Alligator mississippiensis: one gene and its partners. The protein of the gene in region 2 purifies or fractionates together with the protein of the main gene of each other region. This does not show direct contact. Links are inferred from orthologs where the notes say so. Each region holds a gene or a part of one and is shown on either strand. Other genes may lie near its edges. The genes, in order: EIF2B5, EIF2B1 and EIF2B3.

Region 1 (7,414 bases), on a different chromosome or scaffold from region 2:
TCTCAAAGGACTACTCTACCATTGTACGGACTAGTTTGCGGACAACATTATTTCCACGCTTAGTTTTCTATTCTACAGCCACTTCCTCTGCAGCAATTCAGAAGCTGGCACATCAACCTCCACCCCAACCTCCTGGTCTTAGAAAAGAAGCAAGGCAGCATCACACTGTCCACTAGTTCACTGTTAGAGTAACTTTTAAAAATCTCCTCCATTAAACATAAATTGAGCTTCTAATCGAGTTCCCATGCATCTGTGTCACCTCCTTTACGTTCTCTCCTGTGCAACTCCTTTCTGTTTTGGGGTACTTCGTTTTTTCATGTGCTGTCAATAAGGCTTTAACAAAAGCTTACAGATCTTGATTAAGGCCAGAAGGAACTTTTATATCACCCATTCTGATCTTCTATATATTACAGGCCTTTAAATGTCATTCGGTTACTGCTACATTGAACCCAACAACTTGTACCTGTCATAAGAATATAAGTAGTGCTGTACTGGGTCAGATCAACAGTCCATCTAGCCCAGTATCGTGTCCCCGACAGTGGCAGTAGCAGATGCTTGGGATGGGGAGTTTGCAAACTGAGTACCCCTGTGTCATCCGTATTCGGGCCTTAGTTAGTTTCTCATGGAGGTATTCCATTACGGATGCTGCTTGTTGGGATAATTCACCTTTCAATACACAGAGAGCTGTTGCCACCTGTGTGACCAGGGTGGTAGATCAGACTTGGGGACTTTCTCCTGATCTTCAGCCAACTGAAACGCCTTCTCAAGACACGCCCCAACCAGTGGACCTGCAGCATCTCTGACTATGCTAGTCCTGGCTCTGCTAATGGATTTCAATCCTACCCTTCCCCTCTTTACTAATTAAGCAGTGGGGGGTCCCAACACAGCTTCGTTAATACAAAGGTGTCTTTGAGCCTGAAAAGGTTAAGAACTACTAGTTTATCCCAACCATGCAACTGGTCCAATAAACCGTCACCCACAAAAATACTCATGTCTTGAGTATTTCCTGGACCATCACGGCTATATCACTTGAACTCGGTCTCTCACTGCGAGGTCTGCCTTAACATCTTGCCTAAAGTGTGGCGATATGCATGGCTAGACAGGGGATATACGTTCCAGATCCGACGCACAGACCAGTCGCACATTCTGGATCTGGGACGGGCGTCGTGTGCAGCGCAGTCCTGCTCCTGCCACTCACCGGCCGTGCTGCACAGCTCTGAAGCCCCCACCACATGCAACTGTCCTAGAGCAGCACACGGCTGCTTCAAGGCTGTGCTGCACGTGGTGGCCACTCTGTGAAGAGAGCTGTAGTGGGCACTGCATGCAGCAGATGAGGCTATCAAGTGAGCCCTGCATGTTCCCTGTAGATCACTCTGAGACTCACAGACAGCAGCAGGGGCTGGACAACATGGCTCTCTGGGCCAGATCCAGCACATGGGCTGCATCTTTGACGCCCCGATCTACAGTGACCCCTGCCATACCTTCCCTGTCATCCAGCACCCTTAGCTTAGAGATGCCAGGATTTACATCCCTGACTGTTCAGGTAAAAGACTACCGCACACCTCCAGAAGAGTACCCAGTCAGCTGGAAAATTTCAAGGAATGGAGAATCCACCACTTGGCCATTTGTTCCAATGCTCAATCCCTTGTACCAACAGAATATGCATTTTATTTATCATTTAATTTTGTGTCTGGCTTCAGCTTCCAGCCCCTGGCACTGGCTATGCCTTTCTCTGCTAGACTAAAAAAAACTATTAATATCCACGATAGTTTTTTAGGGACATTTTTCATGTTCCAAGCCAAATCAGCCAAACCCATTCCAAATCCGTGTCATTCAAGAGCCACGTGCAGGCCCGGCTACCAGCAAACATCCTCCATCCCCGCCTGGGGCTTCAGACGCTTCCAAATCATTTGGCGGACGTCCTATATGGAGGCCTGAGCCTGGAGGCTTAGGGTTTGGATGCCCCCGAGTTTTGCTTTGCATATGGCTGCAGAAGCAAGTCAGGGGACTCTCTATCGTGGACCATTATACCTGCTGGGCTCAGCACGTGATGAAATGATGTGGGGTCTGGACATGATGATCTTGCGAGGTCCCTTCCAGCCCTAATGTCTATGAAATCTATGAAAGAAACCCTCTGCAGTCAAACTCCTTTTTGGCCACCTGAGGTTTGAAATGCCGAGGCTTCTCCCATACTACCAATAGGCTCTCAAAGAAGAAAAAAGTTTTCCTGGTGGAAAACATCACGGCAGCTTCCCCCTCCAAAACTGCTCCTCCAGGCCGCCGGCTATCGGCCCAGCAGGACCGGGCGGGAGCTGGCAGCAGCCCACTCCCGGCAGGGCTTCTCCCAGAACAAGCCCCGAGCCTGGGTTCGTCGACTAGCCCGACGTCTCTCTCCGTTCAGATGCTGCACGAGCTACACCTTAGGGAGCTCCCACGGCAACCCGCTCTTTGCTTTCCACATGCGACGTCCAGTCCGTCCTCGCCAAGCCGGTCTGGGCGCTCCGGTCCTCGGGAGGCGGGGCTGGCGATCTGCTGGCGTGACAGCGAGCACGGGGAGCTTGACATCCGCGCACAGCCAAGCCGGCGTCTTCTCCCGTCGCACGTGCGGCCGCAGACACGAGCCCCTGGGCGCAGACGAGCATCCCCCAGAGGATCCCCACTAGAAACACCCCCCCAGCTAGGACAAGCCTCTCCCTGTGGCGGATGGGGTCACCGCGCACCCCGGCCCACGGAGGAGGGCAGCGCCGGGGGGGACCCCAGGTGCCGGGGCCCGGTGGTGAGGCTGGGCGGGGGGGGAGGGGTGTCCCGGCCGGCCCCTCTCACCCGCGGCCGGTCCTTGGAGATGGGGAAGAAGCGGCGGTTGAAGCTGTCGGCAACCAGCACGGCCTGGAGCGGGGGCGGCGGCTCCTCTTGCGGCTCCGGCCCCCGCGCCCCACCGCTCCCGCTGCCCCGCTTCCCGGGCCCGCGGGCCGCCATCTCCTCACGCGGCCTCATCCGCCACTTCCGCTTCCGGGCCCGCTCCGGAAGGAGCAACGGCAAGCCGGCGCGGACACACTAGGCGCGCTGAGACGCTCCACGTGGCTGTCGGAGTGTGGCGCCTGCGCAGGAAGGCTGCAGACGGCGTGGAGGGCGCCCGGGCAGGCAGCGCATGCGCAGAGAGCAACTTGCTGTGCCTGCAGTGCAGCGGGCAGAAGCCGGGCTACCCCGCGCATGCGCAGGGGTATTACTCCAGCCCTTGTCCTGTGCTGCAGCTGACCCGTGGCTCCAGGAGCTGTGTGGGGCTCCGCCTTGCGCTACCAGGCTTGCTCTTTAGTGAAAGAAGCTACAAGTGCGGCAGGATGTCAGTGAGAAAATTACGTTCTCTCTTGGGCTGAAGGGGAGTCCCCTGCTCAGCCTAGCAGGTGCACAGGGCCCTGGGCCTTGGCGCTGATGAGTGAAAAATTGTCATTTCCTAGGTCAGATCATAGGTCCCTCTCGCCTGGTCACACAAGGGCAGAGAGCGGATGCTGAAAGGGAGAGTGAACCGGGTCTGACTTCAGACCAACTGAATAGCTGGGGAAAAGTTCTTTGCAAGTGTTCGGGTGCAATCGCCCTTCTTCAGGCCGAGGGAGACTGCTGGGCTGAGATGCCCAAGGAGTGAAAGAAGCTAAAAGTGTGATGGGATGTCAGTACGAGATTGCAAATAGGTGGGAATTACAATCTTAATGACATCCTGTTACACTTTTAGATCACTCCTTGGAGATCTCAGACCAGCAGAGACCCCCCGTGCCTGAAGAAGGGTGTTTGTGCACAAAAGTTTGCAAAGAACTTCTTTCCGACTACTCAGCTGGTCTAACGAGATATCACATCCACCCAAAGAAGCTTGTCTGCCTGCGTCCTTAGACCAACACGGCTACAGCCGAAAACCCTGGGTGTAACGGGGTTTTTTGCCCTGTTGCTCTCACTCGAAGCCTCCCTTCACCAAAGGTAATGGTGATAATAATTGGATGATGGGGGAAAAATACCATCTTCGGGCCCCCTTTCTGTCTGGGTCCCAGTTCGCCCATGCCTGTGTCCGGTCCTGCCCACACGTGGCTGCTGGAATACAGTTGGCATGCAGGGCACATCTGTGCTTTACCAAAGGGATGATTGCAGCAGGTGTTGAAGGCAAGGCAGAATTGCACCTTACTGACTAACTATATCAGAGGTACATCAGTTTTTGTAAGCAGCAGCTGACTTCACCTGGCAGTTGAGCAGGTGTAGTCATACCAGCCCTAGTATTAGCTAGCATGGGGAAGAGTAGCCGTGAAATATTGCGTTGTGCACTTCAGGATCGCTATCTTACTGAGGATCTACTGTAGCCGCTAATGCTTACTGAAGTGCCTGTTGATATGCCTTGCTTATTGCTATCCAAGCTAGGTGGGTGAGAGCGAGCTCAGGTACATCAAAATGTGCTGCTGTCACATCTCTACTGCAGTGTGGACCTAGGTACAGACTTGCCAAGACACAGACACAACTTTGTCCATCCATATACTTGTGCGCACACACATGGACACTCGGACACAGCTTGCCATACGGCACATGCTCCCTGCCCCCCATGGGCTCGTTCATTGAAATGAAAGCTTGATAGCAAGGTACAGAATAGCATGGCATGAACATCCCCTGCCTAGTCCTGCTAATATATTTCTGTATGTACCTGCAGCATCTCCCACTATTCTAGTCCTGGCTGCTTTACTAGTTCAGCTGTGCAGGACCACAGCTGTGCTAACACATCTCCACACTTTAGATGAGATGTTGACAAAGGAGAAGGTTCAGAGAAGCCCTACAAGAATGAGCCAAGGTCTGCAAGGCAGACCTCACAGCAAGAGACTTAAAGGCTGCATCCAGATGAATGCAGGCATTTGGTTGCCCAGGGACAAGGAGCAGCAGCAGGACACCTTGTGCCACTGCTAGCTGTCCCTGGGGAACACTACGTGCCCTCTAGCACACAGCATGGCAGGTTACTTTGGGTGGAGTTGGGGAGGCTGGGGCCAGCAACTATGCCGGCCCCAGCAGCCTTATCTGGGGTCTTGGGGGCTGGGGAAGTTGTAGCCATGTTGCTCTTGCAGCTTGGAGCCTGGCCAGCAGCTGGAGTGTGACTCCGACCAGCCAGGCTCTGGTTTTGGGTGGCACATGTTGTCAATGTGCTAACCTGCTTTTTTTCTGCATGGGCTTTTTTGAGCCTTGGATTTCCAGGGGTCAAACCCCCGCACCCCTGCTCTGCAAAGTAACATCACGGAAAACTCTCAAATGTGTGGTGTGTGTACCACATACCATACGGCTGCACTCATCTGGACATGGCCAAGGAGATCAAGTGATGTCGTAGCCACAATGGTCCTGGAAACACGAGAAGCAAGAGTGTTCGTGGGTGACATGTTTTATTGAACCAACAGCATGGTTGGGATAGACCAGTAGTTCTCAGTCTTTTCAGACTCAAGGCCCCCTCACTGAACTCCAGGCACACCTTGGAAAATGCCAGCTCTAAGTTTTCGATCCTTTTTTTGACCACAGAAAGATACTGGAGCCATTCTTCTGTTGCAAAGGACTCAGAAAGAGCACAACAGATCAGAATGTTTTTACCACTATGGATTCCTAATGAAATCTCTGGGTTTATCTTGTGAATCAAGTTTGCACACCTAACAGTACTAACATTGCGTGGTGCCCTGTGGCACCCTTGATAGGATCTCAAGGCACCCCAGGGTGCCGTGGCACCCTGGTTGAGAATGATTGGGATGAAATTAGATAACTTTTCAAATGTAGTGCATTCTTCTTCAGGAGCTCTACCTACTTTGCTGATCAAAGAGAAGGCTAAGTGTGAATTTGCTCACCATCTATAATTATCATAGTGCAGATAAAGACTATCTGAGGCTAGAAGTTTCTTCTGTTTAGCAAATAAAGACATAGCAGGATTCAATTTCCGCAAGCTGAAGCCAGGCAAATTTAAATTGGAAATAAGGTACAAACACCACAAGTAATTAACAGTGAGCATAATTAATTGCCAGAACAGCTTCCCAACTGACAGAGGGTAGATTCTCTGCCACTTGATGTCTTTAAATCAAGACCAGATGTCTTTCCAACATATGTGCTCTAGTTCACCCACATATTAAAGTGTTCGATGCAGGAATCGCTGGGTGAAATTGTATGGCTTGAGCTATGCAGGAGGTCAGACCTGATCCTTAAGTTCCTTCTGTTCTTGGCATTTATATGAGTATTGATATCTGAGGCATCTCCACAGCTGGACAGGTTTTCTCTTGAACTTTCCCAAGATTTCATACTTTCCATCTACCCTCCTGTCCTGCAGTAGTGTGCTGAGGAGGGGCAACTGGGGCAGCAGCCAGAGGAACTGGCTTTGTTGGAGGGGGACACAAAAATATACTCTACTGTCTCGGCGCTGTGGCAGTGGACACTGCCCCATGCACTGCAGCTTCCTGGAGTACGGAGCTGCCCTGTTATGCTTCTGCTGTCACAGCGGCTTTTTGAAATCAGTGTTCCTCCTTGTAACCCAGAGTTGTTTGCTAGAAACCTGGGATGGTGCAGAGGATGCAAACTGCATTTGTCTGCCCTCTTTACCTGCTAGCTCCTCACAGCAGGAAATCAGAGCTTCACTGGAGACTCCCTGCTGCTTTCAATATGGACAACTAAGAAGTGAGCAAGTGGAAGAGGCAAGACATGGCATTGAGGTAATACGTTCTTCCTGAAAACAGATGCATAGGACATGAAGACCAGAGGTTTTGGGAGAAAGTGTGGCTTGGTTGGATGACAGGAAGATAAGGTGTGCAGGAAAGGGCAAAGGGTAAGCACCTGAAAGACATAGAGAGAGAGGTAACAGCTCTGGTGCACCAGCGCTTTCTTTTTAACTTGTTGCTACTCCTCCAGTTAACTGTTCCCCCAATCCCATCATGGTAGGTGCAAGCAGACTGCTGCAGGACAACAGCTTTTGGAGGGAGTCCATGAAGCCTATTGCTGTGTTGGCAGTGGGGGGTTGGCCAGGACATTCATAGCTCACTGGGCTCCTTCCAAAACACCCAACCATACAAATCAGCCCGGCCAGCAGTTTTCCCAAGGCTGTCACGAGGCAGGAGTGAAGCAGTCAGCACTACTCAGTGTCTGCCCTGCAATGGACTGCCAGGTACAGGCATGATGAGTTGTATACGCATGAGTCAGGCTTAGCAGAAAGCGGAGCGTCAGATGAGCAGTGTGGGGCGAGAATGCTTTCAAGGAGAACCTAGAAACAAGACAGGCCATTTCTCTTTGCTTGGATCAGACCCCCTGCACCTCCCAGAGCTTTCATCTGCTGTTCTTCCAGCATCTGCCTGACATTAGAAGGATCTGAAGGTCAGTGAGCAGCTCTGGAGGGGAAGCTGTTGCAGCTGTCTGAACTGACTCTTCACAGAGG
Region 2 (7,160 bases):
ATCTATGAAGGTAATGAATAAGCTTACCCTACAGCAGCATCCAGAATCACGGTAACAGGGATGTTCAACTTGCTGAGTGCCTTTGCCATTTTTTGCCTATGAAAATAATGTTTATGAAGTTGAAAAGGCTTTCTTGGAAGACAGTGCTGGTGAAATACAATTAATATAGTTGAAGTACTATATGAAAGACTGAAATCTAACTGTGGGTCTCTACCTTCCCACATCCTCCTTCCTCTGTACATGCAATCATTCTGCTTTAAAGAAGTAAGTTGTGTGATAATACACAACAGGTGAGAACCAAAAAGGGAATTAGTTGACTGTAAGGGAGATAATAAATAGACCATATACAGAGTAAGGTGCAAGATTCCTCACTAATCATTCAGCTTAAACAGCTGTAGGCATCACACATAAGTTGCACACAATTTAAGTCAGGGGTGTCAAACATGCAGCCTACAGCAGGTAGAATTGGTCTGCAATAGGAGCTGGACCTGATGTCATGGGATTTACACAGGGGTCACTCTGGGGCATAAGCTGTATGCAGCACCTGCATCAGAACAACCCTGTGCACTGGCTCTGGGACCAGTCCAGATGGGGCAGCGCTGGAGTCAGTATGCAGGGCTGGCCCTCTGTGCCATGTGGTGTGCCTATGGACCAGGTATAGCCTGTGCACCATGTGCCAGCCCTGCTCTGGGGCTCGTGCTGCTTGTGGTGTGCAGGCTGAACCCAGTGCTGTAAGCACTGCCTGTTGCAGAGGAGGCTGGCACAGAGTATGCACCATATGCATTACTCCACTGGACAGTTCTCCACGCTCGCTGAAGGATGCACAAATGGCCTGGGGCCTGACCCCAACTAGCCCTGGAGCCAGCACTTGGGGCTGGTCTGGTGGGGTGCCACATGCAGCTGAATACTTTATGATGCTGATGGTTACAAGAATCACTGCTTCAGGTTTTTCTGGTTTTTTTTTAACTGACATCTTAAATTGACTGCACCACTGCAAGCAACCACCCAAGCCAGAAATCTGTTTGCATAGCAATGGTTAATTTTTAAAGTTCTGGTAAATTTTCTGCAAACATTAGTGATGTTGGAATTGCTTCTTGCAGTTCTTACTGAAGTGTGTTTATACATTTCCTCTCAAGGAGGACATAATGTTTTGTCAGAGCAGTTGTTGCCTTTTAGCAGCATTTAAAAAAAAGGGGAAAAGCTTCTTCCTGATAAAATGAGAACTGACCTTAAAACTAACTTCTTTTACTAATCAAGAAGAGAGTAGTGACAAGTACTTGCCCTGCTTGATCTGGCTGTGATTCTGTAACGTAAACTCTGAAACGCTTCTTTGACTCTGCAGCTGCTTCTAGCACTCTGAGGACCACTCTTGAATAGGCATGGGTTAATATTCGCTGTCAAAAGGAGAGATGGAGTTTCAGGAAAGCCTGGCTGTTAGGATTTCTTGTGCTACTTTACTATGCACAGGTATTTTAAAGCATTGGTTTCAGTTACAGGTTTCCCTTGCCAACCATGGTTTTAAGTATTCATGCTTAATATTCTATACACCATTTTGGCTACCACAGTATACAGTTCTGAGTCACCATGGTTTTCCGTGGCTGTGCATCAGCCTGCCACCTGCCATTTTTCCCATAAGCCTTTTGTCTTGCCAACCGCGGGAACTTTCAGGAACCTAACCCCAGCGGTTGGCAAGGGAAACCTGTACTTGAGGTGCCTACTGAGATTTTTATAAAAAGTGAGCATTTTACGAGTTAGAAATAGAGCTTAATGGTAGGTTTCCCAGAAGTGTTTTTACAGCGCACGGCACGTCAAGTCATTGCATAAACCTTGACTTTTTTTAACTGATGTCTTATTGCAAGCAACCACCCAAGAAACCCTGGCACTGAGAGGGACCGAGAAGTCACCGCTTCCAATGCTTGAATGAGACGATCTGGTTGTCAGCATCAGGCCAGAAGTTCAACCTCAGTTTGCGCAGAAACAAAGGTGGAGGGAGAGGACAGAGAAAGGGAGTCTTAGGAAACACAGGAAGATCTGAACTTGTGATGCAAACAAAAATACGATGATCAGGAAACTTTATTTCTCCTTACTTGAGAGAGCCCACATCAAATCATGCGATCACCCTGAACACAAGGGAGTAAGATTTGGTCACCCTCCCCTTCTGCCTCCTGCCCAAACAGCGGAGCCCCAGAACCGGTGCAGCGCCCGCGTTGCACTTACAGCACCGTCTTTGATGAACGGGTGGCAGAGCTTCGCGATTTTGTTTCTGGAAAGAGAGATTCTCCTGAGGAAGATCTCCCCTCGCTCGATCATGATCTCTTTGCACTTGGAGTAGTCCTGCAAAAAGCAGCGAGCATGGCGAGTGAGGGTTGGGAATCCCTTCCGCCGCGCCGGCGGCCGCGGGCTCTTACCGTGTACTCCAGCGAGGTGAGGCTGATGAACCGGAGGAAGAGCTCTCCCCCAGAGGAGACGGCCACTGAGGAGTCGACGCCTGAGAGCATTTCGATGGCGTTTTTGAGGTTTGCGCGGAAGCCCTGCATGGTCTCCTCTGAGAGAGGGAGAGAGGTGCGGTTTGGGCATCGCGGCGAGGGCACCGGCTGGCGCCCCGACGGCTCTGCCCCGCGCGCGCAGCCCTCCTCGGGGACATCACAGCTCCCCCCACCCACCCACCCACCCACCGCAGACCGATCCTGCACAACTGCACACGGTTCTCCTGCTCGAGAGCAGCTAGCACCGGCGCGGATACGCCCGGGGCGGGAGGGGGGCAGCCACCTGTGTCTCTCTTGAGGAACTCGAGCAGGGCGCGGATGGCGGCCACGGCCGAGGCCAGGTCCGGGTCATCCCTCGTCTGCGCCTTGAAGGCCTCGATCAGCGCTGCAAGGCAAAGGCGGGGTTCAGCGGCCTCCCGGGTCCCGCTCTCCCCCAGCCCCGCCGCGCCCCGCTACCTGCTCGGTCCATGGCTCCGCGCATCCCCTTGTGACACCAGGAGGGCGCCGGAAGTAGCGGGGGACGGTCATTGCGCGGCGCCGGAAGTGGCGGGCGGTGGGCGTCATCGCGCGGCGCCGGAAGTGGTGGTGGTGGTGGTGGTGGCGGCGGCGGTGGGGGGCGGGCGTGCCGGGCAGGATGAGCTTGGCCGGGGCGTGCCCCGTCCCCCGCGGCGCGGCCGTGCCCGGCCTCACGCCCGTTGCCTTCTCAGAGGACGAGCTGAGCCTGCTCGTGGCGGTCGTGGACGCCAACCCCATCTGGTGGGGGCAGAAGGCGCAGGGAGGCGGCGAGGTGAGAGGCAGCCCCCCGGGGGACGCGGCTGCGCCCTCAGCTCCTGCCCTCGCGTGTGCGGGCCCCAGGGCGCCCGTCGTGGGCTCCCGGCTGCGGAACGCTCCTTGGGTGGGTGGCTCGCTCGCAGCTGCAGTGCGGGGAGGTGGCCCCGGGGTCCGGCACCCCTTACCGGGACATCCCGTCTCAACAGGAATGGCGGTGTGCGCTGAAAGCGGGGCCGACAGCCTCTCCCCGCCTGCGGTCCAGTCGCTTATTCCACCCTTTACCATCCGCCCGTTAGTCGGGTGCTGCGGTTTGCTGCCTTCGGCCCCGGTTGTCAGGAGCGTGGAGCGCTCGAGCGTGTGCTTGGAGTCGCCAAAAGCTGCAGGGGCTCGGCACGGCTGAAGCGAGGCCGTGCTGTTCTTGGGTCGGGCGCCCCGGTCGCGTTAGGGGATGCACGGGTGTTTGAAACTCTGCTCGACTCATCTCTGTTGAACAGAGGAGACTTGAACAGAGATTCAAACACACATTCGTGCATCCCCTTACGCGACCGCGGCTCTCCTCTCCTCCCAGAGTTATTGTGAGCGAATAACTGATCTCTCTCGCTGTTTTTTGAAGATTTTGAGCCCTATCCACGTATGGTTCTAGTGCTACATATTTCTGGAGCGTCACTGATGCTTTCTGTCCTTCAGAGGGAATTTGCTGCCTCCTTTCAGCTTCTCACCTTTGTGAATATCGAACTCTGAGGAAGGCATTACTTTGAGGGAGTGCTTTGTTTAGCGTGTTTTTGTTTCAGATGGTGATGGTGCTAAACCACGTGTTTTCCTCGCTCCTTCACGCATTGCGCCTTGTCTTTTTCTGTTTTCCCAACAGTTTACGTTGTCAAAATGCCTGGATGCAGTGATGGTGATGGGGAATTCGCACTTGTTCATGAATCGCAACAACAGACTTGCTGTGATTGCAAGCCATACACAAGAAAGGTACGGTAACTTTTATGAATAGCATCACTACTGTTATAATTTCCCACCCACGTCTCTTGCCTGAATTTCTTGCTCGGTGTGTTGCAAAGAATAATTGGCATCAGATTTAAATATATAATGTTTAATTTAAATTTAGACCTATTTTAAATAGGCTTAAATACCCTATTAAAATGAGTGAAAACAGACAGGGAAGGGATTTGGGGACTAATACAGAAAAACAAGTGGAAAAACAGTATAGGTTTTTAAGGCTTTGGAGAAGTGGGGATTGCTGCACTAAAGGAACAAAAGGAGGTTGTTTTCCTGTCTGACCTTTCCATTCAAAGCTACTACTACTTTCTGATCTAAGAATAAGAAACGGGAGGTTGATCCCTGCATTCAGGTAGTGTCTGAAGACTAGTTCTCCTCAGAGTGTCTCTCAGAGAGCCTTTCCACCAGGACATCCTTACACTGCGTAGAGCTTTAAAAAGACTCCTTACTCCATGGTGACCATTGCTTAGAATGAAATGTCACCTTTGACTTTCACTTTCTATGAGCGGCTCAATTTGTGGTTGTAACTCAGTTGTTATTAAAGTAACAGGCAAATACTGTGTTGCTGGTTCTCTTTCAGTCGTTTCTTATACCCTGGAAAGCGCTGGGCATTTGCAGATCTCTTTGGAGATGGTGGCAGCTGTGTAGAATCTAATTGCGCTGGCAGCAAGGATGGAAAATACGAATTATTAACTGCAATAAATGAAACAATTGCAGAGGAGATTAAAGACCTCATGACAAAAAGTAAGATGATCTTCTGTTAAAGAATGTAGTGGTTTCTGTAGCATGCTTAGTTTTTAGTGCCATCAGATGAGGGGAAGTATTATTTTGAAATGTTATATGCAAAGGAAATGCTTCAGGAGATTATACTATATGATAGACTCTCCTTTGCTTCTGTCTTCTGAAGCTTATTCTCCCCTTTCATTATGAGAATGTGCTTAAGGCCAATGAGACGCTGAGAAGTTCAGCACTTTTAGAGCCAGCCTTTAATGTTTTGTCCAGGAAAAATTGATCGAATGAACTGTATGGCATTAGATAAGGGAATGACTTTATTCAATAACCAGTTCTGTGCATTTTTATATTACAGCTGACGTGAAGGGCCAACAAACAGAAACTTTATTGGCAGGATCAATTGCCAAAGCACTTTGTTGTATCCTTCCCATAACTTCCCATTTAGAATATCTTTCTCTTTAAAAAAATAAATACATGCGAAAATCTTTCTTGTGCTGGACCCATATTGCTACCAGAAACCTTGCACTCTCTTGGTAGTAGTCTTAACCCCAGTATGTTTTTGTTTTCAGTTCTGACTTCTGAATATCATAGCTTGAGAGCTGAACTTCTGGTAAAGTTGTGCATGTTGGTTAAACTGTTTATTGCAGGTATCATATTTCCTCTCTTTTGTTGTTTTAAACGACTTATACATCTGTTTCTCAAGTGTTCCTAGAATAAAATGTTATTTCCTGAATAAAAGCTAATACAGATATTCACAGGCTGACCAAGGAGGTAAAAGGTACTTTTTTCTGTTGTTTGCATATTTTTCTGAGTGTTAGAATTAAGAGGAGGAAAAAATGCAGAGCTTTTCTTAGCTGGCTATAGTGGAGAAGTAAGGGTTTGTCCCAATCTTTTACAGGTGTACAAATTGAATTTTGACTGCAGATTGGTAGACGAGGAAAGAACATGCAAGAATTGTATGGCTTTAGCAAACATGTTAGAACTTTAAAACCAAGCACAGAAGGTCAGCTCTAAGGAGAGGGAAATCTTTCCACATGTAGAGCAAAACTTTGAATTCGGCAGTTACAAAGTACTACACTACCGTCTACCCTTCAGATTCAAGTTTTATACTCAACAGTTTCAAAAATGAATTTGGATACTGCTGCTTGTATTCTGTGGCTTGATTATGTAAACCAGTCTTAAAGTAAACTCTCTATTTAGCTTTACAGAGAAGTGGTGTAAAGTACCATCAGAACAGCTTTAAAAACCTGTGATCCAGTCTCTGTTTGACCGAGTAAACTGACAGTGAACCACACTGAAATTGTCTTTGTTCTTCATCATCCAGTTGCTTTTTAGGAATGAATGTGACAGTATCCACTTTCACAGCAACTCTGAATTTATTCTGGTGACTTCTGCTAGAGGTTTAGCTTCATCTTCTCATATTTGGTCTTAGTATGACTAAAAACAGTCTCTTGCTTTCATTCAGGTGTTAAACTAAAATGTAGAATTAGGAGGACAGAATACTGGTGGTTAATCGCATACTTATGGGATACTAATGCATGTTTTTTTTTATGTCTCCAATATGTAGCCAACCAAGAAATAAAATCAAGAATTTTGGTAAGAACTTTTGCCTTCAGTTGTCTTAAACGGCTTTAAAATCCAGTAGTCTTGTCTGTGCAATAATGGTTGTTGTTTGCTTTATTCAGGTTATAAAAGCTGCAGAAGACAGTGCATTGCAGTATATGAATTTCATGAATGTGATCTTTGCAGCACAGAAACAGGTGAAGTTACTGTTTTATCAGGTGGTTAACTATTTGGGTATTTTTTTCAATATCAACACACTCAAACATAAAAAGATTGTCACTGTTGCATTATGTGCTTCTAGTTTATGGGATCTTTTGGGAGAGGTGAGCATCTTCACCCTCAGGGAGAAAGTGTTTGAGCTAAATGTAGGTGCATGTCATTGCACTATAACACAAAAAGGCTACCAGGTCTGCCCAAGATTGCTACTGAGGTCCAGACCCCACTTTCCTACATCTTATATATGTGGTACGTTGGATAAGCTTCAGCCATCAGTCCTTGCCTAGCCATTTGGTGGGGAGGAAGGCTGGAACATGCAATACACACTAGAGTTCAAGAGCTTCAATTTGGGTGTAAACTCAGGGCAGTAATTCTACTGGAGGGTTATTT
Region 3 (7,678 bases), on a different chromosome or scaffold from region 2:
CCAGCACCCTTAGGAGCCAGCAGCAACCTGCTGCCCTCTGCTTGTCATGATGAGAACTGCTCCACTGTGTGTCATGGGCCCCGTACTGCAAAGGGAGACTCCCCTTCAATGGCAGGGGCTTTGGCAGCAGGGAGGGTGCAGTAGCTGCCCTGAAGCTTTGAGCAGCCACAGCCCAGCGGCAGCCAGAGGACAGGGCCAGCCTGGAGCCCCGTCACGGTGCTGCTGGCTGGGTCCTGGGTCAAAGTGGAGCCAGGCAGCCCCTGCCCAGTCGCTGCTTGCCTACGCGGGGTTTATCCAGGACCGTGGTCTCTCCTGCTTTGGCTCCGTGCTGGACCATCCGTGGACCTGTGTCCCTGGGGAGGACGGCCCCTTGTTGCCTGTCCTGCGCCTCTATTAATGTGACAGCAGCACTACACCTGTCTGCTCCGGTCAGCCCTGCCTCTGCCCCTCCAGCACAGTCTGCTCCTGCTGCCAGGCTGTGGGGTGAGCAACGGAGGGGCACTCAGGGCACCTGGGACCGTAATCCCAGCTCTGCCACTGCATTCCCTCATGACCTCAGGCAAGTCACTTCATCTTCTTGCATCTTTCCCCTCCCTGCCTGGGCTTTGAGGCAGGACCTCTGCTTGGTTCTGTGCTGCAGCCAGCGCCGGGGAGCTCCGAGCCAGGCGAGGGTTCGAGGGGCGGCCGTAGACCCCGCTCTGCCTGGTGGGAGCATTCCCCCTGGAGCGGATGGGCCGCTTTGTCGTCCAACTCCGGTTTGTGCCTCTCGCCCTTTCCCAGCTCCCCTCCCCTGCCGCATTCCCAGAGCTCAATGGACCGTGTCAGTCCCCACGGGCGGATCCAGCCCCCATGCTTGGCTGCAGCGGCAGCAGGGCAATTCCCACGCTCGGACGGGATGCACTGAGCTGGCGTGCATCCAGGGCCCAGGACACATTGCAGCGCCTGAGAGGAGGGGATGGGAGCCCAGTCAGGATAGATCCCCTGTCCCCAGTGTGGAGAGACGTCATTGGGAGAAGTGGGGGGAGAAAGGGGCCACGGCTGGCAGGCCTGCGCGGTGTGACAGGCATCGCTTCTCGGCCTCTCGGGGACTCAGATCAAGTGCGTGGCAGGAAAACGTCACTGGCAGAGCAGGGAGGCAGTGCAGAAAGGCTGTGGGCTCCCAGCACCGGAGGGGGCAAGCAAAGGATGGATGGGCACTGGTCAGGGATGATTAGGCACAGCGATGCCCATGTTTGACCATGGGGGTTTCCCAGGCTTCTGGGCTCTGCTGGTTGCTGCATGGGGCTGGGAGGGAAATTTTTCTCTTCCTGCTGCTCCATGTGTCAGGGGGGTTTAAGCCTCCCCCAGAGGCGCTGGGTGCTGCAGCCCAGGCTGGGGATGGGGCTGGGCTGTGCCAGTGTTCCTGCTGGCACCGACCCCGCAGGGTCCTGGCTGGAGGGTCTTGCCCCTGCACTCAGGCTCGGACCAACACTGCACTGGGGCAGGAAGGGATTTCCCTCCTGCTCAGACTGGTGCTCACTGGGGAGTTTTGCCTTCCTCTGCAGTGGGGGCATGGCCTCTGCTTGGGGTCTCTAGAGCATCTATGAACCCCCACTGCACTGCAAGTTTTAATTACCTCCGAGGGCCGTTATATCAGGGCAAGGGCATTGCCAGGCGGCCTTGGCGACTTTTGTCATGACATAATTTTGTGATGTAATTTTAGGTCCTGCCCCGAGGAGCTCCCAGCCTCAGAGATAGGGACGGAGCCACTTTGCTGGGCCAGGGGAAACGCAAGAGAGCTGGGAAGGAGCCTGGCAAGAAGGCTGGTGCATCGGGGCACCGCAAGAAGAGTGCGTGTGAAGCTGCTGGCTCCCACAGAGACTGGTACCGAGACAGCAGGGATAACGGCCGAGCAATGGAGAGGCAGGGCCAGCAATCAGAACCAGCCCCAGACTCTGAGGCTCAGAGCTCAGTTCTCTGCTCCGCTTCTTGGCTGACCCGTAGCAGGTCCTTTCCCCTCTCAGATCCCACCAAGCAGAAGGGGAAGAACAGCACATGCCCCCAGAAGGATATGTTCCTTGTTCTACAAACTAGGGGGTTTGCCCCAAGAAGGGCAGGCTCCAGTGCTGGCTCCACAGAAGGACTCAATGGATTTCACCTGAGCTGAGAGAGCCATGTGCCCCATGCTGGCAGCTCTGCCAGGACCTGAGTTTCCCCAGATCTGCAGCTGGGTCCGGAGACCGGGTGCTTTGTTTCTCTTCCTGAATGCACCTTGCTTCTCCAGCAGGACCGGCTGTTTGTGTCGTCTCACCAGAAGTGGCTGCACTGAGCAAGCTATGAAGTGCAAAGGAGACCTTGAATTATCCTTGTTGCCAAGAAGGCTACTAGCATCCTGGGCTGTGTTGGTAGGAGTGTTGCCAGCAGATGGAGGGCAGTGATTCTTCCCTCTATTCAGCACTGGGGAGGCCACATCTGGAGTCCTGTGTCCGGCTGTGGCCCCCCACTACAGAAAGGATATGCACAAGTTGGAGAAAGTCCAGTGGAGGGCAATGAACATGGTTTGGGGGCTGGGGGACAGGACTGGTGAGGAGAGGCTGAGGGAACTGCTCTCATTTAGTCTGCAAAAGAGAGGGGGATTGAATAGCAGCCTTCAACTCACTGCAGGGGGGTTGCAAAGAGGATGGGGCTGGGCTGGTCTCAGTGGGGGCAGACAACAGAAGGAGCAATGGGCTCAAGCTGCAGCAAGGGAAGTTGAGGTTGGATATTAGGAAAAACTTTCTCACAAGGAGGGTGGTGAAGCACTGGGACAGGTTACCCAGTGAGGTGGAGGAGTCTCCATCCTTGGAGGTTTTTAATGTCTGGCTCAACAAAGCCTTAGCTGGGAGAGTGTAGTTGGGGCTGGTCCTGCTTGGAGCAGGGGCTTGGATGAGATGTGACTTCCCGAGGTCCCTCCAACCCCCATTGTCTGTGATTTTATGATTCTACCTGCTGGGCTGAGTGATGCCTGTGGTGAGAATAAGGACCCAGATCCCGTGACCCTATGGGGTAGGCTGGAAAAGCATGCCCCATAGGTGCACCTGTGGGATTGGATCAGTAAAAAGGGAAAAGCAAAGCTGCTCAGTGCCAGGCCCCCCTACCCCCTGCACTCCCACAGCAGCTGGACATGTCTACTGAAACACTCAGCAGTGCAAGGAGTGCTAGGTAACCCCACCATTAGGCTTCAGAGTCAACCTTCTTTTTAGATGAGGGTACATTAGGCCAGACTCTACTTCTGCATCAGGCCATTTTCAGTGTCAGGAATTCAGGCTGCACTGGGTCTCATTCAGAATGTTTTCTTAGCTCTCACCAGGACTGGGGATGTGCTCTCTGCCTGAAATGCTCTCTTCCCAGAGGATGCATTTCAGCATGTATCAACCCAGCTGACAACAGAGCCAAGGAGCTTCCTCCCCCTGCCCGAGCCAAACCACTCAAGGATTTTCAATCTTCTAGTTTCGCTTATCCTGATGCTGTGAGAGAGTAGGCTCATAGCAGGTGTGTGACAGCCATCCCGGCTGCTGCATGGAGGCAACGGCAGGGTGACCCCAGGGTCTGCAGAAATGGCAGCAGCTTCTCCAGGCTCCTGCTTAACACCTCTGCTGGGGGCCTGTGATGTGTATCTTGGATGTCGAGATGCCCAGGCTGCCAAAGGAGAGGTCCAGCCACCAGGCCGGAGCAGGCACCTCAAAGCAATGAGCCAGTCGACGATAACAGGAGAGGAGAGGGAGACAGCCAAGCAGAACATGCTGCAGTTCTGGGACTGAAGACTGCCGGGAGTGAAGAGAGAGGTCCCATTAACACACTTGTTAAGAACTTGGTTCAGTTTTACGACAAACTCAATCACAGTATTTACTTGGGGAATAAAGTCCTCCGTACCAAGCAACGAGCATGTCACTGTTCCATTGAAAGCGGCAACAGCAGCCATGCATTCGCTCGAACCAAGCCTGTGTGCAGCTGTCACAACCTTTGGCTTCGTAATGGAGACACTTGATGATCTAAGCTCTCCGCTCCCACGTAAAATGCAGTCTCAGATCTCAAGAAGCTGCCAGCCCTCCCAGGGGTGGAGAAAAGTTTGAAAGCAGGAGCACAGCATGATGCTAACAGCTTGGGAAAGCACCTGACACTGCAACTGTACTTGCACCTTCTACACATGCACCTCCCCCCCACAAAATTAGCAATTGATACTTGAGCACTTGAGGAAACTGAGACCAAACAGTTCGGTTCAAAGGAAAAATCTGCCTTCCCACAACAGCAGCGTGTCTTGTTGGGGTGGCGCGTGGTATGCCAGTAAATACAGTGGGCACCCTGCAAGCAAGCCAGGTTATTCTGAAGCCCATCTCTGCCTTTTGCAGCCGGGGAGGCTTGGGGTCTGCTGCAATGCAGACCCTCACCCCTGCAAACCACCCCTTCCCTGCAGCCTGCCCCAGCTGCAGCCCTGCCTCTGCCCCATGGCAGCATCGATGACTCGGCGCTCCGCCCCAGGAATCTATGCCTCGGCGCTCTCTTCTCCCCCCTGGCAGCCCGGCTCCTGCGGCTCGGCGCTCCTCCCTGCGATCGATGCCTTCGGGGATCGGCGGGCAGCCCTTCCCGCGCATGCGCAGTGACTGTCGGCGCCGCCATTGCGGTGCTGTCAGTGAGGGGCGCAGGCGGCAGCGGCGGCGGGACGAGGTGAGGTGAGGGGAAGGGAGGGGGCGGCGGCGGCGGGGCCGGGCCGCGCGGGACGGGGGTGCGGGGCCGGTCCTCGGCGGCTGGGGCGGCGCCTGGCCGTGGCTCCGGTTTATTCGTCACGAGAGGTGATGCTGCGCTGCCGCCCGGCCGCCCGACTCCTGATAATTCGTCACTTCGGACAGCTCGCCGCTTCCTTCAGACGAATTAACCGCATTTAGATGCACACGAGTGTGTGTGTGTGTGTGTATAGACACACACACACCCATGCATGCGCACATGTACACATGTATATATGCACAAACACATATTCACGGCCATTTAGCTGCACACGTTTGTGTGTATAATGTGCACGTGCGTATGTATATACACATGCATGCACACATATACATGCACAAACATGTGTGTGCAGTTAGATGCACACGTGTATAATGTGCACGTGTATGTATATACGTACATGCACAAACATACACACATGCACATGCATTTAGATGCGCACGTGTGTATAATGTGCACGTGTGTATGTATATACACATGCATGCACACATGCACAAACACACATGCATGTGCATTTAGATGCGCACGTGTGTATGTATATACACATGCATGCACACGTGTATATATGCACAAATTCATGTGCATTTAGATTCACGTGTGTGTAATATGCACACGTATGTATATATACATACATGCACGCACACACACGTGTATATATTTACAAACATAGGCGCACACATTTAGATGTGTGCATATGTGTGCGCACGCACACACACGCACACACGTATGTGTATACATAGCACAAGCTTCCATGGACCCAAGGTCACGTCATCAGATGCAGCGGACGGCCGTGCAGAAAGCACAAGTGCTGAGAGATGCACAGATTTCATAGACGTTGGGGCTGGAAGGGACCTTGCAGATCATTGAGCCCAGCCCCCGCCCCAGGGGCAGGAAACCAGCGGGGCTCAAAGGATCCCAGCAAGATAAGCAGCCAAGCGTTTCTTGAATGAATGCAGAGTAGGTGCCTGCACCACTTCTGGGGGGAGTCTATTCCAGGCTTTGGGGGCTTGGACAGTAAAGAAATTTTTCCTTATGTCCGGCCTAAAACGGTCACGGAGGAGTTTGTGACCATTGGTCCCTGTTATCCCTTGGGGCGCTCTGGTGAACAGACGTTCCCCCAGATCCTGGTGCACACCCCTTATGTACTTATAAGCAGCCACCAGATCCCTCCAAGCCTGCATTTTTCCAGGCTGAAGAGTCCCATGGCTCGCAGCCTCTCATCATAAGGCCTGTTCTCCTGACCTCTGATCATGCGTGTGGCTTTCCTCTGCACTCTCCCAAGCCTCTCCACATCCTTCTTGAATTGCGGAGCCCAGAACTGGACGTAGTAGTCCAGCTGCGGCCTCACCGAGGCCGAGTACAGCGGGAGGATGACGTCCTGAGATTTACTTGAGAAGCATCTCTGGATGCAAGCCAGCGTTTTGTTTGCTTTACCAGCTGCGACATCGCATTGGTGGCTCATGTTCATCTTGTGGTCAACCATGACCCCCAGGTCTCTTTCAGCTGTGGTGCTAGCGAGCGTAGCACTGCCAAGCCTATAAGCATGTTGCGGGTTTTTTTTCCCTGAGGTGGAGTACCTTGCATTTTTCGGTATTGAATGTCATCAGGTTTGTATTCACCCACTTACTAAGCTCATGCAAGTCAGCCTGGATCACCAGCCTGTCCTCAGTTGTGGACTCTATGCCCCCAAAGTTTAGTGTCATCAGCAAACTTAGCCAGTGCACTTCTGACACCAATGTCCACATCGTTGGTAAAGATGTTGAAGAGAACCAGTCCAAGGACAGAGCCTTGGGGGATGCCACTGGTCTCGGAGCACCATAATGACTCGCTAAGGGTGCCACAGGGAGCTCCTTGCCATCAGCACTGTTGGCTGCATAGAGGCTTACACGCAATTCGCACAATGAACCAGAGGTTTCAAGTTGGGATCCAGAGTGTTGAAGAACTGTTCTGCCCTGCTGTGGGCCTTCCCCGTTCTTCGCCACGCAAGAATTGCTCTAGTATTTTTCTGTGGTCAAAAAACAAATGGAAGTTAAAAGCTGGCATTTTGTGAGGGGGCTGGAGTCTGAAAAGGGGGAGAGCCACTAACTCACCAGCCAAGTGTCATGGCAGTGAGGCCTTGCAGGTGGGAAATTGGGCTGTTAGTCAGTGTTACGCCCTTTTCTGGCACATTTGTACGTGGAGTAAGCTGCCTGCCATTTCATCGTGCGTCTCAGTGTTCTTGGCCTTAATTTCACATATTCGAGCACCTGGAGGCTCCCTGGTGAAATCTGCAGGGACAGAAACAGTGACTGGGATTTGTCGAGCTTGCATTCAGGTGATGCCCTTTGACCTGAAACGTTGTGATGTAATGCGGGTGACTGAACTAGGGGGAAGCATGTTCCCTGGGGTTAAGACTGCCCTGTGCTTGCCGTTTCAGGTTGCAAAGATGGAGTTTCAGGCAGTGGTGATGGCGGCCGGTGGCGGATCGCGGATGATGGACCTGACCTCCAGCATCGCCAAGCCCCTGCTGCCAGTAGGCAACAAGCCTTTGATCTGGTACCCGCTAAATTTGTTAGAGCGGGTTGGATTTGAAGGTGAGGAATTGCCAGTTGCTAAACAGTAGAGGTTGGGACCGGCTGTAGTTCTCTGCACAATACAGCATTTCTTGTGCCTTTTTCTGCTTTGCTTTAAAACGTACTGCCCCTTCCCTTGGGAGACTGGTCTGCAACCCAGCGAATATCACCTGCAGTAGTTCTTCCCTGGTATTCAGCCTAGATTTTCCTTCCCTTCCTTTCACCTCATTAAACCTCTTGCTAAATCCTCTTCCTTCTTGTTGTGACCATTCTTTGACCCCTTTTCAACAGTAATTTCCTCTTTCCTTACTTCCTTGCTCCACTTAATCATTTAGGTTCTAGCATTGGTCTCTGAAACCTTGTATGTGGACATAAAATTGGCACGCACC

Evidence for each region.
Region 1: the proteins of EIF2B1 (region 2) and EIF2B5 purify together in Homo sapiens (affinity purification with mass spectrometry; 7 studies listed by BioGRID and IntAct, counting the BioPlex papers as one, with this or other methods). This does not show direct contact. The link is inferred for Alligator mississippiensis from reciprocal best matches to the Homo sapiens genes EIF2B1 and EIF2B5.
Region 3: the proteins of EIF2B1 (region 2) and EIF2B3 purify together in Homo sapiens (affinity purification with mass spectrometry; 7 studies listed by BioGRID and IntAct, counting the BioPlex papers as one, with this or other methods). This does not show direct contact. The link is inferred for Alligator mississippiensis from reciprocal best matches to the Homo sapiens genes EIF2B1 and EIF2B3.

What each region holds. Positions count from the first base shown.
Region 1 is NC_081830.1:83,911,080-83,918,493, forward strand, and holds the start of EIF2B5 (translation initiation factor eIF-2B subunit epsilon), read right to left. Parts: upstream 3,019-7,414; 5' UTR 2,995-3,018; coding exon 2,824-2,994; intron 1-2,823. UniProt on the Homo sapiens protein: Acts as a component of the translation initiation factor 2B (eIF2B) complex, which catalyzes the exchange of GDP for GTP on eukaryotic initiation factor 2 (eIF2) gamma subunit.
Region 2 is NC_081833.1:5,958,666-5,965,825, forward strand, and holds the start of EIF2B1 (translation initiation factor eIF-2B subunit alpha), read right to left. Parts: upstream 3,027-7,160; 5' UTR 2,968-3,026; coding exon 2,943-2,967; intron 2,872-2,942; coding exon 2,770-2,871; intron 2,546-2,769; coding exon 2,409-2,545; intron 2,335-2,408; coding exon 2,218-2,334; intron 1,395-2,217; coding exon 1,282-1,394; intron 97-1,281; coding exon 28-96; intron 1-27. Other genes in the region: GTF2H3 (general transcription factor IIH subunit 3), read left to right, coding at 3,121-3,273, 4,126-4,232, 4,840-5,003, 5,347-5,409, 5,740-5,769, 6,559-6,587, 6,677-6,751.
Region 3 is NC_081828.1:2,180,211-2,187,888, reverse strand, and holds the start of EIF2B3 (translation initiation factor eIF-2B subunit gamma), read left to right. Parts: upstream 1-4,587; 5' UTR 4,588-4,608; coding exon 4,609-4,683; intron 4,684-7,153; coding exon 7,154-7,310; intron 7,311-7,678. UniProt on the Homo sapiens protein: Acts as a component of the translation initiation factor 2B (eIF2B) complex, which catalyzes the exchange of GDP for GTP on the eukaryotic initiation factor 2 (eIF2) complex gamma subunit.